Linked DNA regions of Mus musculus: regions 1, 2 and 3 are each reported to be linked to region 4. Evidence: microRNA targets listed by miRTarBase, many of them from high-throughput screens and not tested one by one. Region 4 holds a microRNA gene; each other region holds the end of a gene's coding sequence.

The links. The annotated mature microRNA mmu-miR-5135 reads AGGUCUAGGUGGCAAGGGCGUCCU and lies in region 4 at 1,975-1,998, opposite strand. An mRNA with a match to its seed (bases 2 to 7 or 8) in the 3' UTR can be bound and repressed. Matches are read on the target gene's strand: a 7mer-m8 pairs with bases 2 to 8, a 7mer-A1 pairs with bases 2 to 7 and ends in A, and an 8mer does both.
Region 1: the mRNA of Rbak is a reported target of mmu-miR-5135. Seed matches in the 3' UTR shown: 7mer-A1 at 600-606.
Region 2: miRTarBase lists Dll3 as a target of mmu-miR-5135. Seed matches in the 3' UTR shown: 7mer-A1 at 683-689.
Region 3: the mRNA of Tspyl1 is a reported target of mmu-miR-5135. Seed matches in the 3' UTR shown: 7mer-A1 at 1,725-1,731.

The regions. Positions count from the first base shown.
Region 1 is chr5:143,170,547-143,173,663 of GRCm38, reverse strand. It overlaps Rbak (RB-associated KRAB zinc finger), which reads left to right. Exons shown (of 5, transcript NM_001045482.2): 5 at 1-1,478. The coding sequence ends at 503. Among named protein-coding and RNA genes, the nearest start is that of Rbakdn, 6.4 kb to the right of the region's middle.
Region 2 is chr7:28,291,201-28,294,317 of GRCm38, reverse strand. It overlaps Dll3 (delta like canonical Notch ligand 3), which reads left to right. Exons shown (of 9, transcript NM_007866.2): 8 at 193-277; 9 at 392-763. The coding sequence ends at 397. Among named protein-coding and RNA genes, the nearest start is that of Selenov, 1.6 kb to the right of the region's middle.
Region 3 is chr10:34,282,838-34,285,954 of GRCm38, forward strand. Tspyl1 (testis-specific protein, Y-encoded-like 1) reads left to right here. Exons shown (of 1, transcript NM_009433.3): 1 at 1-2,048. The coding sequence ends at 583. The region is part of intron 1 of Gm26564 (a long non-coding RNA gene); the gene reads right to left. Among named protein-coding and RNA genes, the nearest start is that of Tspyl1, 2.2 kb to the left of the region's middle.
Region 4 is chr12:76,531,169-76,534,285 of GRCm38, forward strand. Mir5135 (microRNA 5135) reads right to left here and starts at 2,044; the gene lies at 1,966-2,044. It overlaps Plekhg3 (pleckstrin homology domain containing, family G (with RhoGef domain) member 3), which reads left to right and starts at 2,392. Exons shown (of 19, transcript NM_153804.4): 1 at 2,392-2,650.

The DNA of each region.
Region 1 (3,117 bases), not on the chromosome of region 4:
TCTCGGATTCGTCATGCTACACTGTGCACTACAGAGGTCATTCCGAAGAGAAGCCCTTCGGGTGCAGTGAATGTGGGAAGACCTTCTCTCATAACTCATCCCTCTTCAGACATCAAAGGGTCCACACCGGCGAGAAGCCGTACGAGTGTTACGAATGTGGGAAGTTCTTCTCTCAGAAGTCGTATCTCACTATCCATCACCGGATCCATTCGGGAGAGAAGCCCTACGAGTGCAGCAAGTGTGGGAAAGTGTTCTCGCGGATGTCGAACCTCACCGTACACTACCGAAGCCATTCAGGAGAGAAGCCGTATGAGTGCAACGAGTGTGGGAAAGTCTTTTCTCAGAAGTCGTACCTCACCGTGCATTACCGGACTCATTCAGGAGAGAAACCTTATGAATGTAACGAATGTGGGAAAAAATTCCACCACAGATCAGCCTTCAATAGCCATCAGAGAATTCATAAAAGAGGCACTGTAAATGTACTCACTGTAGAAAAGCTCTGACATGCCAAGGTTTTTAAATTTTTTTTTGGTTTTGGTTTTGGTTTTTTTGAAACAGGGTTTCTCTGTGTAGCCCTGGCTGTCCTGGAACTCATTCTGTAGACCAGGCTGGCCTCGAACTCAGAAATCCGCCTGCCTCTGCCTCCCGAGTGCTGGGATTAAAGGTGTGTGCACCACCACTGCCCAGTGACATCTCAGTTCTTAAGAAAAGCATTTGGTTATAGTGAACATTGGAAGTCCAACAGGTAGTCAAGGGTGGACCCCCCTCAACCCCCCCCCCCAATTTTCAATATATGTGGTGCTGGGATTCTGGGCCTTTTGCATGCTATAGACATTCTGCAAGATTCACGAGCTGAGCATCCACGCTCTTGAGTGTGGAGTCCTAAAACAAAGTCCATTTTAACTTGAGCTTTCAGAGAGGAATCTGTGAAGCAACCCATGACCGTATGACTTATGGGACACTAGGTCATCTTTACAGGAGTGAACCTTTGAAAGTATTTAATATTTATTTTTATTTAAATCGTATTTACATATCAGGGAGTTCTGCTGTGAGCTGTCAGCTCCTGAGTATAACTCGCCTTGGAAACGCACACTAAAAGCCATATTTCTGACCGACGTTACCACGGGTGTTCATGGAAAAGATGCAAGAAGCTATGAGTTCCGAATAAACTTATAAAATGAAGTCATGAAGCCAGCAGTTGAGCATGAGGGTGACTGAAACACGGCACTTCTGCTGTTCTAGACACGCAATTGAACAGTCTCTATGCAATGTTTCGCAATCTCGGCTTTGAATCATTTGTGAGAACATGTCAGCAAGGATTAAAATGACTGTTACAGTGGGTACATGGGTGGGATGTGCTAGCTGATAGGGAAGTACATAGCTTTCTATGTCGGTGCTTACCCGTAGAGTGGTTTTTGTAAAAATATTTTCAACTGGAATTGAGCAAAAAAATTTTTTAAATACTATTTTGATAAACCATGCTGTTTATGTGTTGTGTTGCTGTGAAGAGGCGCTATGGCCATGGGAATTCTTGGAAGGGAAAACATTTCATTGGGGCTGCTCTGAACTCCAGCCCCGAGGTTTAGTGCACTGTGATGGTGGGGAGCATCATGGCGGCATGTAGGCAGACACGATGCTGGAGAGGTAGCTGAGTGCCACATCATGATCCACAGGCAGCAGGGAGAGAGAGACTGGGCCTGACTTGAGTATTTGAAAACCCAAATCTACCCCCTAGTCACACACTTCCTCTAGCAAGGCAACACCTATTCCAGCAAGGTCATACCTGGTGCCACTTCCTAATGACCCAAGATCCAAATCTATGAGCCTATGGTGGCCATTCCTACCCAAACCACATATGCATACGTAACTCGGGGTTGCTTGTGTCCATTTCACTAGAAGAGTGTATTACTATAAATATGTTGTCGTTTCTGTTTCTTGCCTCCTATTTCCAGGGCTTTAGAACACAGTATTCATCTACCAGACATTTTCTGGTTGATACTTTTTGGCATAATCCCTTGCTAAAAGAGTTTGGCTACCTACCGTTTCTCCATGTGAGAATCCCGAGCAAGGAGTTTAAATCGATACTCATGATCCTCTTCTGATTGCCAGTCCAGTCGCCTCTCATTGCCCACAATAGATGCGTCCCAAGACCCCCTGGTCAATACCTGAAGCGAAATAGTCCCAAACCATGAGTACTATGGTTCTGCAGCACTTTAAGGTTGTCGCTGAGACGGCTGCTTAGCGGTGGACAAGTCGTGAATGCAGTGTGGAATTCCTGACACTCCGGTGAGATTTCATCAGCAATGATGTCGACTTACACCTCAGGAGTTGAGGGCTGAGGATAGGTTCCGTAGGAAGGCCCTTGCCTAGATGGCATGAGGCTGCGTTTAATTTCCAATACTCCTCTCCCCAGGTATTGTTAATCTGTGTCCACTTAGTTTGTTTGCACTGTGATTAGCAGCCCATCCCACAGATAACTAAGACTACAGAAAGTCAGGTTTGAGGTTAGGAGACTCTACCATAACTTGGTTATAGAGGTTATGGGGCCTGACCCCAGATGAACCAGATGCAGATGCTTGTTGCATAAATAGTGGTCAACCAGACCCAACCCACTCCAGGAATAGAGAGAGCTGAATATCTTAACAGTCACAGGAAGAAAACTCATGTGAAAAACTTAGCGAAGTATGGAGAAGAACCCCCTTGGTTAGACAAAAAGTCTAACTAGGCTACTCTGGGCGCCACGCAGAACGGTGTAATATTGACACTTACTAAAACATGGCCTACCACTAGTGCTCTTCCGTGACGCTGGACAGGGAGCCCTGGCCAGTCCAGGGGATATTCAGATTAGAGTTAGAAATAATGAGGAAGCTGAACAAGGGCCTTGCATTACAAGGTCATTTTATAACACTGGAGGTTTCAAGAGAAAAAAAAAAGCATAAATTATTTTGAGAGCAATGCCCATTTAAAATACTCCTCAAGTGTCTAAGGAAAAATACATTTTCAAGAATTATGTCTAGGAAAAAACAAAATGTGGCCACACAGTAGGGCCTCTTGTGGTTTTCAAGAGATGCTCTGAGGGATACCAGTTTCCCTGTAAGCCCATGTGCCGTGGACTCT
Region 2 (3,117 bases), not on the chromosome of region 4:
GGCCAATTGACTGGTCTGGTTCTATCGGATTGGACTTTCTTACCCAGGTGTTCTAGCCCTAGCCCTCTTCTGATGGGGTCATTGCAGAATTCTCCCTTGCCAGTCTGCGGTTTCCCTCTTTGATGGGTGTGGGAAATAAAAAAATGAGAATTCGTGGGGTCTGAATTGTCCCCCGTTTCTCTCCTCCCACAGTTCGTCGGCTGACTGGAATCATCCTGAAGATGGAGACTCTAGATCCATTTATGTCATACCAGCCCCTTCCATTTATGCACGAGAGGTATCCTCGACCCACGTTCCCACGTTCCAGGCTTTGGACACTTGGCTCAGTGGCAGCCAGCTCCTCCCACCCTCAATATCTTTTCTAACGCTTCTTTCTCATTTCTTTTTTCAGGCCTGATCCTGCCCCTTCTCTATCTTGTCCCTTCTCTATCATCGCCTGGAGATGGAGCCTGAATGATTTTATTTACTTTGTGGTGTCCAATCTCTACCTCCCCCTACCGACTGGAGACTCTTTGAAAGGGCTTTATTGTACATATTGCTTATTTATAACCTAGTTTTTCTCATCTCCCCAGAGACATCTATAAAGGTTCTTATTTTGCTCAACCACATCAGGCTGAGAACTTTTTATTTTCCCAGGATAGAGTTTCCTCTCTGTAAAAGCCCTGGCCAGCCTAGAACTCTGTAGACCAGGCTGGCCTCGAACTCACAGAGATCCACCTGCTTCTGCCCCCTAAGTGCTGGCATTAAAGGCGTGCACCACTCCAACAGGTGAACTTTGTTTTTGATGTTGAAACTAAGAGAGCTGTCTCATAAGGGGAATAGTAGGTTTTTGTTGTTCTTAAATTGAGACAGCATCTTGTGATAGCTTGGAGCTCATTGTATAAACCAGTAGCTCTCAACTTGTGGGTTGCAACCCCTTCGGGGGTTGAACAACCCTTTCACAGGCGTCACACATCACCGATCCTGCATATCAGATATTTACATTATGATTCATCACAACAGCAAGGTCATAGTTATGGAGTAGTAATGAAATGGTTTTATGGTTGAGGGTCACCACATGAGGAACTGTATTGAAGGGTTGAAACATTAGGAAGGTTGAGAGCCACCTCCTTTCTTCTTTCCTTTCTTTCTTCTTTCCTTTCTTTTCTGTTGTTTTTTTCTTTTTAAACAGGTACTTATATTATATGAGGGCTCTGTCTTCACACACAGCAGAAGAGCACATCAGATCCCATTACAGGTGGTTGTGAGCCACCATGTGGTTGCTGGGAATTGAACTCAGGACCTCTGGAAGAGCAGTCAATGCTCTTAACCGCTGAGCCATCTCTCCAGTTGTGTTGTTTTTCAACACAGGGTTTGTAGCCTTGGCTGCCCTGGAAGCCACTCACTCTGTAGATCTACTGGATTGCCAACCAAGCTAGCATCAAACTGCAGCAGCTTTCCAGCGTCTGCATCTTGCACACTGGGAATTACAGGCAGGCACCACCACGCTGGACTAGGCCTGGTCCTTTGATAGAAGGCTCACTAAAAGTTTTTAGGCTTGTGGTTATGCTGTAGCACAGGTAATTAGATTAAAATATAATTAAAATTAGCCAAGAGATTCTGGCACGATGGCACATGCCTTTAACCCCAGCTCTTGGGAGGCAGGAGCAGTGGTTGTCTGTGAGTTCAAGACAAGCCTTGTCAGAGCGAGTTTCAGGATAGTCAAGGATCCATAATGGGACCCTGTCTCAGAAAGGGGGGGAAAAAAGGCTGAGGCAGGAGGATTGTAAGTTTAAGGCTAGCCTAAGCTATATAGCTGTGTGTCTTTCTCAAAGATAACAGAAAGCAAAACAAAACAAAAAATACGTTTAAAACCCAGCCAACTAGAGAAGGGGATGTGCCAGGGTCCAGGTCAATTCCTAGTCCAAACATCTGTGTGTTCTTCCTGTGGAAGCACCCACTGCACTGACGTCTGGCAACACAGCACGTTAATGGTCACGAAATGTACATTGCATTCTGGGGCCTAGAGTCTTCATGAGGTCTTGGTCAGGCAGATAAAGTTAATAGCCCTCCTGGGGCAGAACTGACACAATGTGGCCCCAGGCTGTCATCACTATCCACGTTATTGTGGATTGGCTGGTCTATGTATGCCCCACCCCCCTTCCAGAAGGATATTCCCTGGCTTAGAAATACTGCCCCAAAGCCACAGGCAGAGGCTGACATCTCTTGAGACATCAACAGGGTTATGTGCATCCTGAGGGTTTTTTTTTGGGGGGGGGGGTGTTGGTTGGTTTTGTTTTTTTTTTTTTGTTTTGTTTTTGTTTTTTTTTTTTTACTTGAGAGTGATTTTAAACTTTTGATCCACTTGCCTCCTGAGTGCTGGAGCTACAATCCTGAGTCAACATAACTGGTTTGTGTGGCACGGGGGACTTGGACCCAGGGCTTTGTGAATGCTATGAAAACTCTATTAACTGAGCCACAACCCCTGTTAAGTCATCCTTCTGTGAGCCTCAGAATGAAGTCTAGTCGGCCTTACATGGTCACTGTCCCTGGCTCCAATCCTTGTCACCTCTGCCTTTTGCCTATACTCCACTTCTCAAACTTGTCCCCTTTCCTGGTGCCAGCTTCCACTTTATCTCCCTAACTCGGGTTCCACAGGATTGGTTGATCCAGGTCTTGTTCTAGGAGCTGGGGATACAGCATGAAGAAGACAGAGTCTCACTTTGACCACTCCCCGGGAGTAAATTGGATTATTTGTGTGGGTTGTCGCTATTTTTCTCCGGACCTCGTATCCTGCAGAGAGGTGCCTCCTTTCTGAATTATATGGGTGCTGGTATTCTCCACTGCACTGACGGTTTTAGGCTGTCACTCTCATACTGGGTGTGACCTCCTATCATGGGCAGGAAGCAAGGAGGGCAGAGATGCATTGTCCCCGGAATCCCCAGCGCTAGGAGGGCGCTTAATGAACTCAACCAGCTAAACGCATGAGTGTCAGGGTGGCAATGGGAAGCTCTAGGCAGAGTTGGCTCCTGCTGGGTGGGGATAGGGACAGGGGCGGTGTCTATTCGGTGAGATCTGAAGACAGCAGCGCCTCCCTGGCGCAGAGCTTGGAATCTCCGCCTGACTGGAACCCGGTGT
Region 3 (3,117 bases), not on the chromosome of region 4:
TCAGGCCGACAGGGCCTTCCAACATCTGGAGCAGAAGTTTGGGCGAATGCGACGACACTACCTGGAACGGAGGAACTACATCATTCAGAATATCCCAGGCTTCTGGATGACTGCCTTCCGGAACCACCCTCAGTTGTCCGCCATGATTAGGGGTCGGGATGCAGAGATGTTAAGGTACGTAACCAGTCTGGAGGTGAAGGAACTGAGACACCCTAAGACTGGCTGCAAATTCAAGTTCTTTTTTCGAAGAAACCCCTACTTCAGAAACAAGCTGATTGTCAAGGAATATGAAGTGAGATCATCTGGTCGAGTGGTGTCTCTTTCCACTCCAATCATTTGGCGGAGAGGGCATGAGCCCCAGTCCTTCATTCGCAGAAACCAAGATCTCATTTGCAGCTTCTTCACCTGGTTCTCGGACCACAGCCTTCCAGAATCTGACAGAATCGCTGAGATTATCAAAGAGGATCTGTGGCCAAACCCACTGCAATACTACCTGTGTCGTGAAGGAATCCGTAGACCCCGACGTCGCCCAATAAGGGAGCCAGTGGAGATTCCCAGGCCTTTTGGCTTCCAGTCAGGTTAATCTTTGCATTTGAAAATGCGGCCGGAACTGGTCCCTTCTCACCTGTGCTTGAGCAAATGCAACGGGTATGCAGTGTTTTGATTTCTTTCCTCCTGACTTTTCTGCATCTTCTATCTGGATAGTCTCCACCTCGAGATTAAGACTGGACATGCTTCTGCTTTCCCATGGCCTTCATGCTGTTCTGAATTAGTATCTGCTGGTTCACGGCCCTGGCTTATACCCTTTCTAAGCTCAACAATGAAACTGTATGTTACACTGCCTTTACACTGTTTGGACCCTATTGTTTTCAGTCTTACCTGTTTACTGCCACCTAGATGTCTTGCTTTAACTGGGGGCCCTTCTATTTATCTGTTCATCATGTGGCAACGTGGACACAGAGTTTTTGGACAGTTGCTGAGCCTAAACATTGAAGGAGTGGGCCACTGTCTGTGTGATTTTTTTTTTTTTTTTTTTTGGCACCACTTTCTAGGTTATATCACACTCCATTGTGTTTGCCAGTGCTCCTCACCCTCACTCTCCCACCTTTCTCCTGCTATTTTAAAGAAAAGTAGTTCAGAAACATCTGTAAGGCCAGGAGTCATTTATACTTAGCATTTCCTGAGAAGATACTCTGTAAAAGAGGAAACAACTCTGCCTTGTCTCCTCTCTTACCCACTCCCCAGCCTGGTTAGCAAGCTCTAAAAAGCTTCCAGGGAGACAGCTAGATGGAAACAGCTGAGCCCTTCCTAATATATGGAAGAACTAAAGAAGTTTTGATGGGTACTCTAAGCAGAAAAAGTGAGCTGAAAAGGCTTAGAATCAAAATAAGTCAGATAAAAATTGGGCTGAGAATGAAGACAGGACACAGCTTACACATCTTGGTCAGTCAGTGGTGATGGGAAGAGAACTAATTTCTCAGGAAAAAATATTTTCTCTGAGTGTTGAATGTTGCCTAGATAGTGCTTCTTTAAAGAAGCAGTGCAAGTTTGAGTTATTTTCCTCTCTTTATATGTGATCTGATATAAGTGAAAGTATAATATTTTGCCCATCTTTTACCAATATTTAGTAAAATGCTACTTGTTTCAACTTACTGAAAAAATTTAAACACTTTTGTTTGCATTTATTTGAAACCATTTGGAATATTGTAAGACAACTCACTCTGTAGACCAGGCTGGTCTTGAACTCAGAAATCCGCCTGCCTTTGCCTCCCAAGTGCTGGGATCAAAGGCGTGCGCCACCACTGCCTGGCTAACAGTAGTCTTTATAATACTGAGACTGAATATTCGTAACAGTTTTCGATATTACTCCAAATTCTTAGAAACGGCTTGGATAATTGGTCTTAATCAAATGTGTCAAATTATTGTTTTCATGGAAAAGTAAATATGTGACTTGATTGTCTTGATATAGTTATAAAAGTACTTTGTCAGCACTGTATATTTGTTGCCATTTTTATGCATGATGGTAAATAAAAGCATGGCATCCTGTTAGATGGCTTTTTTTTTTTTTTAATCCCCAACCTGGCCGTAAACTTGCCTTAATGGGTTTGTATAATTGACAAGATTGTTGAATTATTCAATTCCTTAAACGTACACAATTGACATCCCAGAGGTACCAAGAGTAGTTGTTTCTCCTGCTTGAAGAGTAGTTGTTACTGTCATTGTTTTGTTGCTGTAGAAGGTTGACAGTTACAACTGCTTACTGAGATTGCAGATCTTCCCACACAACTTGTGCAGTATCACCATACCTTCACTTCTTCAGGTTCACAATTTCTGTCTCCACATATGATATTTTTCATGTGTTATTCAACTATACTTTTCATAAGCAGACACTTATAAAGTATTTACCATGTAATACTATTTTTATACCTTTTCAGTTGAAAATATTTTCTTAACTTTATCATTAACTTCCATTTGTCGAATAATTCAAAGCCTATTAGGGTAACTTCTCTGCCTTGTATTATTTATGTTTCCCAGTGTGAGATAACCTTTTTAGGGACCCCTGTTGCTGGAAAACACAATTGCTTATTGTGGTGAATTACACTAGTTTTTATTAAGGTGTTCTGCTAGGTCTTGAGAAGGAAAATGGATACATTCCATTCCTTTCAGTGATAAAAAAATCAGACCTGATATGCAAACAATGCCATAATACAGTAAGTAGAGAAAGATATTTCACATTTTCACTTTTACTTCCTTCAGAGTTTAGAAACTTTGTGAAAATAGAGCTAAGGGTATTTTAGTTCTTTAGTGCAGCTACTATATTTTGCACATAGTTGTCAGCAAACTATAGAATGACAAAATGAACCACTTAGATAACAGAAGAAAATGCCCAGAAAGACTTGGAAGTAATGAGAAGAATTATCTTGGTATCTTGCCTTAAAAACCATGATGACAGTTCTTAAAGCATTAGTAAAATTGACATCAGAATTTACAAAGCTATTTGATAAATAGTAAAATTCTCTTTTTAATAATTAGACAAGGTTTAGACATATTTTTAAAAATTGAAGACGAATTTATTAATGTGAATTCACTGTTGCTCTCCTCAGACACACCAGAAGA
Region 4 (3,117 bases):
GCTGAAGCAAGAGCTGGTGGGAAGGCAGAAAGGCTCAACGCTGAGAAGGGGGCTGCGGCTCGGCTTGAGACCCTGGTCCTGACACTGACTCTTGGAGGCTTGGAGGTAGGAAACTGATTTTTTATAAAATCTTGCTTGTTTCATCTGGCTCCAGCATGGCCTTATTGAATGCTTCTTACAAGTTCTGCATAGTAAGATTACAATCTTTTCAGGAAATGGGCATATAAATTAAAGCAATTAGAAACAACTCGAGGCTTTAGAATCAAGTTCAGAATGGACTAACAAGTGTCTAGAAGGAAGTGGAGAAAGAGCTGGCTGGCTAAATGCAGTTTTCCCTGTGGGTAGAAACTCCCAGCTCTACCACCCACTAGCAGTATGACCAAGCCTCAGTTTCTCCTGTAACCGCAATTGTTCTTGTAAAATGCTCAAAGGTTAACACAGTAAGCACTCCAGTGTCGCCCCCTCAGACTACGCCCCTTGATGCAATTGATCTTGGCCAGACTGCTCCATCCTTAGAGCCTCAGTATTCTTCCTGCAAAATGGGAGTAAGTGTATTCCTGCCTTAGTGATTATAAAGTGCAGTGCACTTGGTAGCACCATTCCCTAACCATTACTATCATCAACATTTTATTTTTCTTTTCTAGCTAAGGAGCCAGTCATACATTCAAAAGTTTTAAATCTCTGGATTGGGGCTGGGGGACGTCTTTGGAAGTTGGGAGTTTAAGATTAGTAGGAAAGGACTGGTAAGATTTAACAGATTAGAGAAGAAACCAGAAACCCAGAAAGTTCGAGGTGGGAAGGAGTGGGGCTTCTCCCTTTCCCATCCCACCCCGTAGTTTTATCTCTCTCCCCCGTTCCCGGGTAATCTTGTTTCTCACCAGTGCTGTCCTCTAGTCTGCCGCTCTTCAAGCCTAACCTGTGGACTAAGTAACGTGAGCCTTACTTTCTGGCCCTCCCGCAGTCAGGAGCAAGGACTACTTTAATCTTTACTCTTCCCAGGGATCCCGTTTCAAAGTCACCTGAAAGCCATTTCCTCTCTCTCTGCCCCGCCCCTCCCCGTAAATCACTAGGTGCTTGCTTTTCCCTGGGGCAGCTTTTTTTTTTTTTTTTTTTGAGGGCAGTGGTGGAGGAGGGGATTTTATAAGCTATTTAGGATTTTCACTTGTCTACACTTGGCGGTCTAAATGCTGAGTTACTGGGGTCGATTCTCCATTCCTGTTCCAAGAACCTGGTGCCATCGTTTAACGCAGGAGTCCTACTTCTTCTGTGATCTCACACTGGGCTCCCATCTCCTACCCCTCTTCATGGTGCGTACTGGGGACAGCATCTAATGCTACCTCCCCTAAGATCTTTACCAATGAAAGATTTATTCTTAGTGAGGTGTAGTAGCGCACACCTATAATTCTAGCACTCTGGGGGATCACTCAAGAGTTCTGGGCTAGCTTGGGCTACAAAGTGTGGGCCTGTTTCAAATCAAAAAATAAAATAAAAACAATAATTAGGGCGTGGTGGTGCACACCAGTAATCCCAGCACTCCGGAGATAGAGGGTGGAGAACCATTACTCTCAAGATTACCCTCTGCCAGTCTCAGATAATTGAAATCCTGCTTCAAAAACAAAAACCACACAAAAGATTTATGTTCTTGCTCAAAATCTAACTGGTTTGTATTCTATGTGCTTGTGCTAATCATCCCCCAATTTTCCCATCCCCTAATTTCCCGGTACATGCCTTTTGTTGATAGATCGCACTCAAAATGGGGTCCACTGACATTCAGGTTCCTCGATCAGTTTTTCTCATTAACAGTCCCACTGAGCGCCGCGCCCCGCCCCGCCCCAAGTTATGCGCTTCTTATCTCTTTCTCCTCAGAAGGTAAGATTTTACAACTGTAAAGAGCCACCGAAACCTAGTTTCGGCGAGGAATTCGAGACGTGCCTTTCTGACTCAGCGGTCGTGGTGACCTGCTCCAGTAGGACCAGGACGCCCTTGCCACCTAGACCTGCGCTTCTCCTGGGAAAGTCTAGGTGGCTGGGCTCCGAGTCCTCTCTGGTCGGAACCTGGTCTGGAGGCTTTCGTTGCCCTCTCGGCGTGATATCAGGGCGGTGGCACTAGAGTAACCCCACCACGTGCGCCTTGGGATCCCAGAGTTCCAGGTGGCAAGGGGAGGCGGCCAGCGGGACCCACACGGCGGGCCACGCGCGTTAATCATTAGCCACGGCGGCCGCTGTCTACAGCGGGAGCCACAGCTCGCTCGCACCGCCGCGAAGGTTCCCCCGGGCCCCCCAGAGCCGCCAATTGCTGGATCGCAGCCGCGAGCGCAGTCTCCACCCACTGGAAACATTCCTGGTCCGCCCCTCCCTGGCTCCCTCCCTCTCCCTCTCTCTCTCCCTCCCTCCCTCCCGCCGCAGCCTGGACTCCGGCCGCAACTTCCTGCCCGGTGCTGGGGAACCGTGCGCATTTCGGGGGTCCCCCGGCGTCTGGTGCTCGCAGCGAGCAGAGGCTGGGACCGCGGGGCGGCCAGCCGTGGGCGGGAGCGGCCGGCGGCCTCTGCCGCTTCCGAGAGCGACTTTCAAACTCGAGCCCGCTTCGCGGCGCCACCTGGGCAGCCCCGCGCGCCTGGCGCGTCGCGAGCCGGCGGGGCGGCCACCGCTTGGTGAGTGTCCCTAGGTTTGCCTTTCTCTCTTTGCCCATGCTCGATTGGCTGAGTGGCAGCGCTCTGCGGAGACCCCAGGCTAGCCCTCTGTGGGATGAGGACCTGGCCCCGAGCTGCCTCGGACACACTCGGAGGAGGTTGGGTCGCGGGAAGGTCGTAAGGGGAGTCACTTTTTATCCCCACCCCGGAAACCAAAGCAGCATAGGCTTTGCAGAGTTTGAAATCCGGGCAGCTCTCGACATTCCCGCCACCCCTTCCTTGTGTGCCCTGACGCCCGTGGGCTAGTGCTTGCCTGAGACTGTGGGCTCTTCTAGAAGGACTCGCCTCTGGTCCCGCCAGCCCAGGAGTGCGCAGGCACTCAGTCTGTTCTGGGTTGGTGCCACACCGTGCTTCTGGGAATCTCAGCTGCATGTCCAGGAGGATTAGAGTGGGTGTCAGAAGCCAAGTGTCCAGGAGCTGCAAATCTA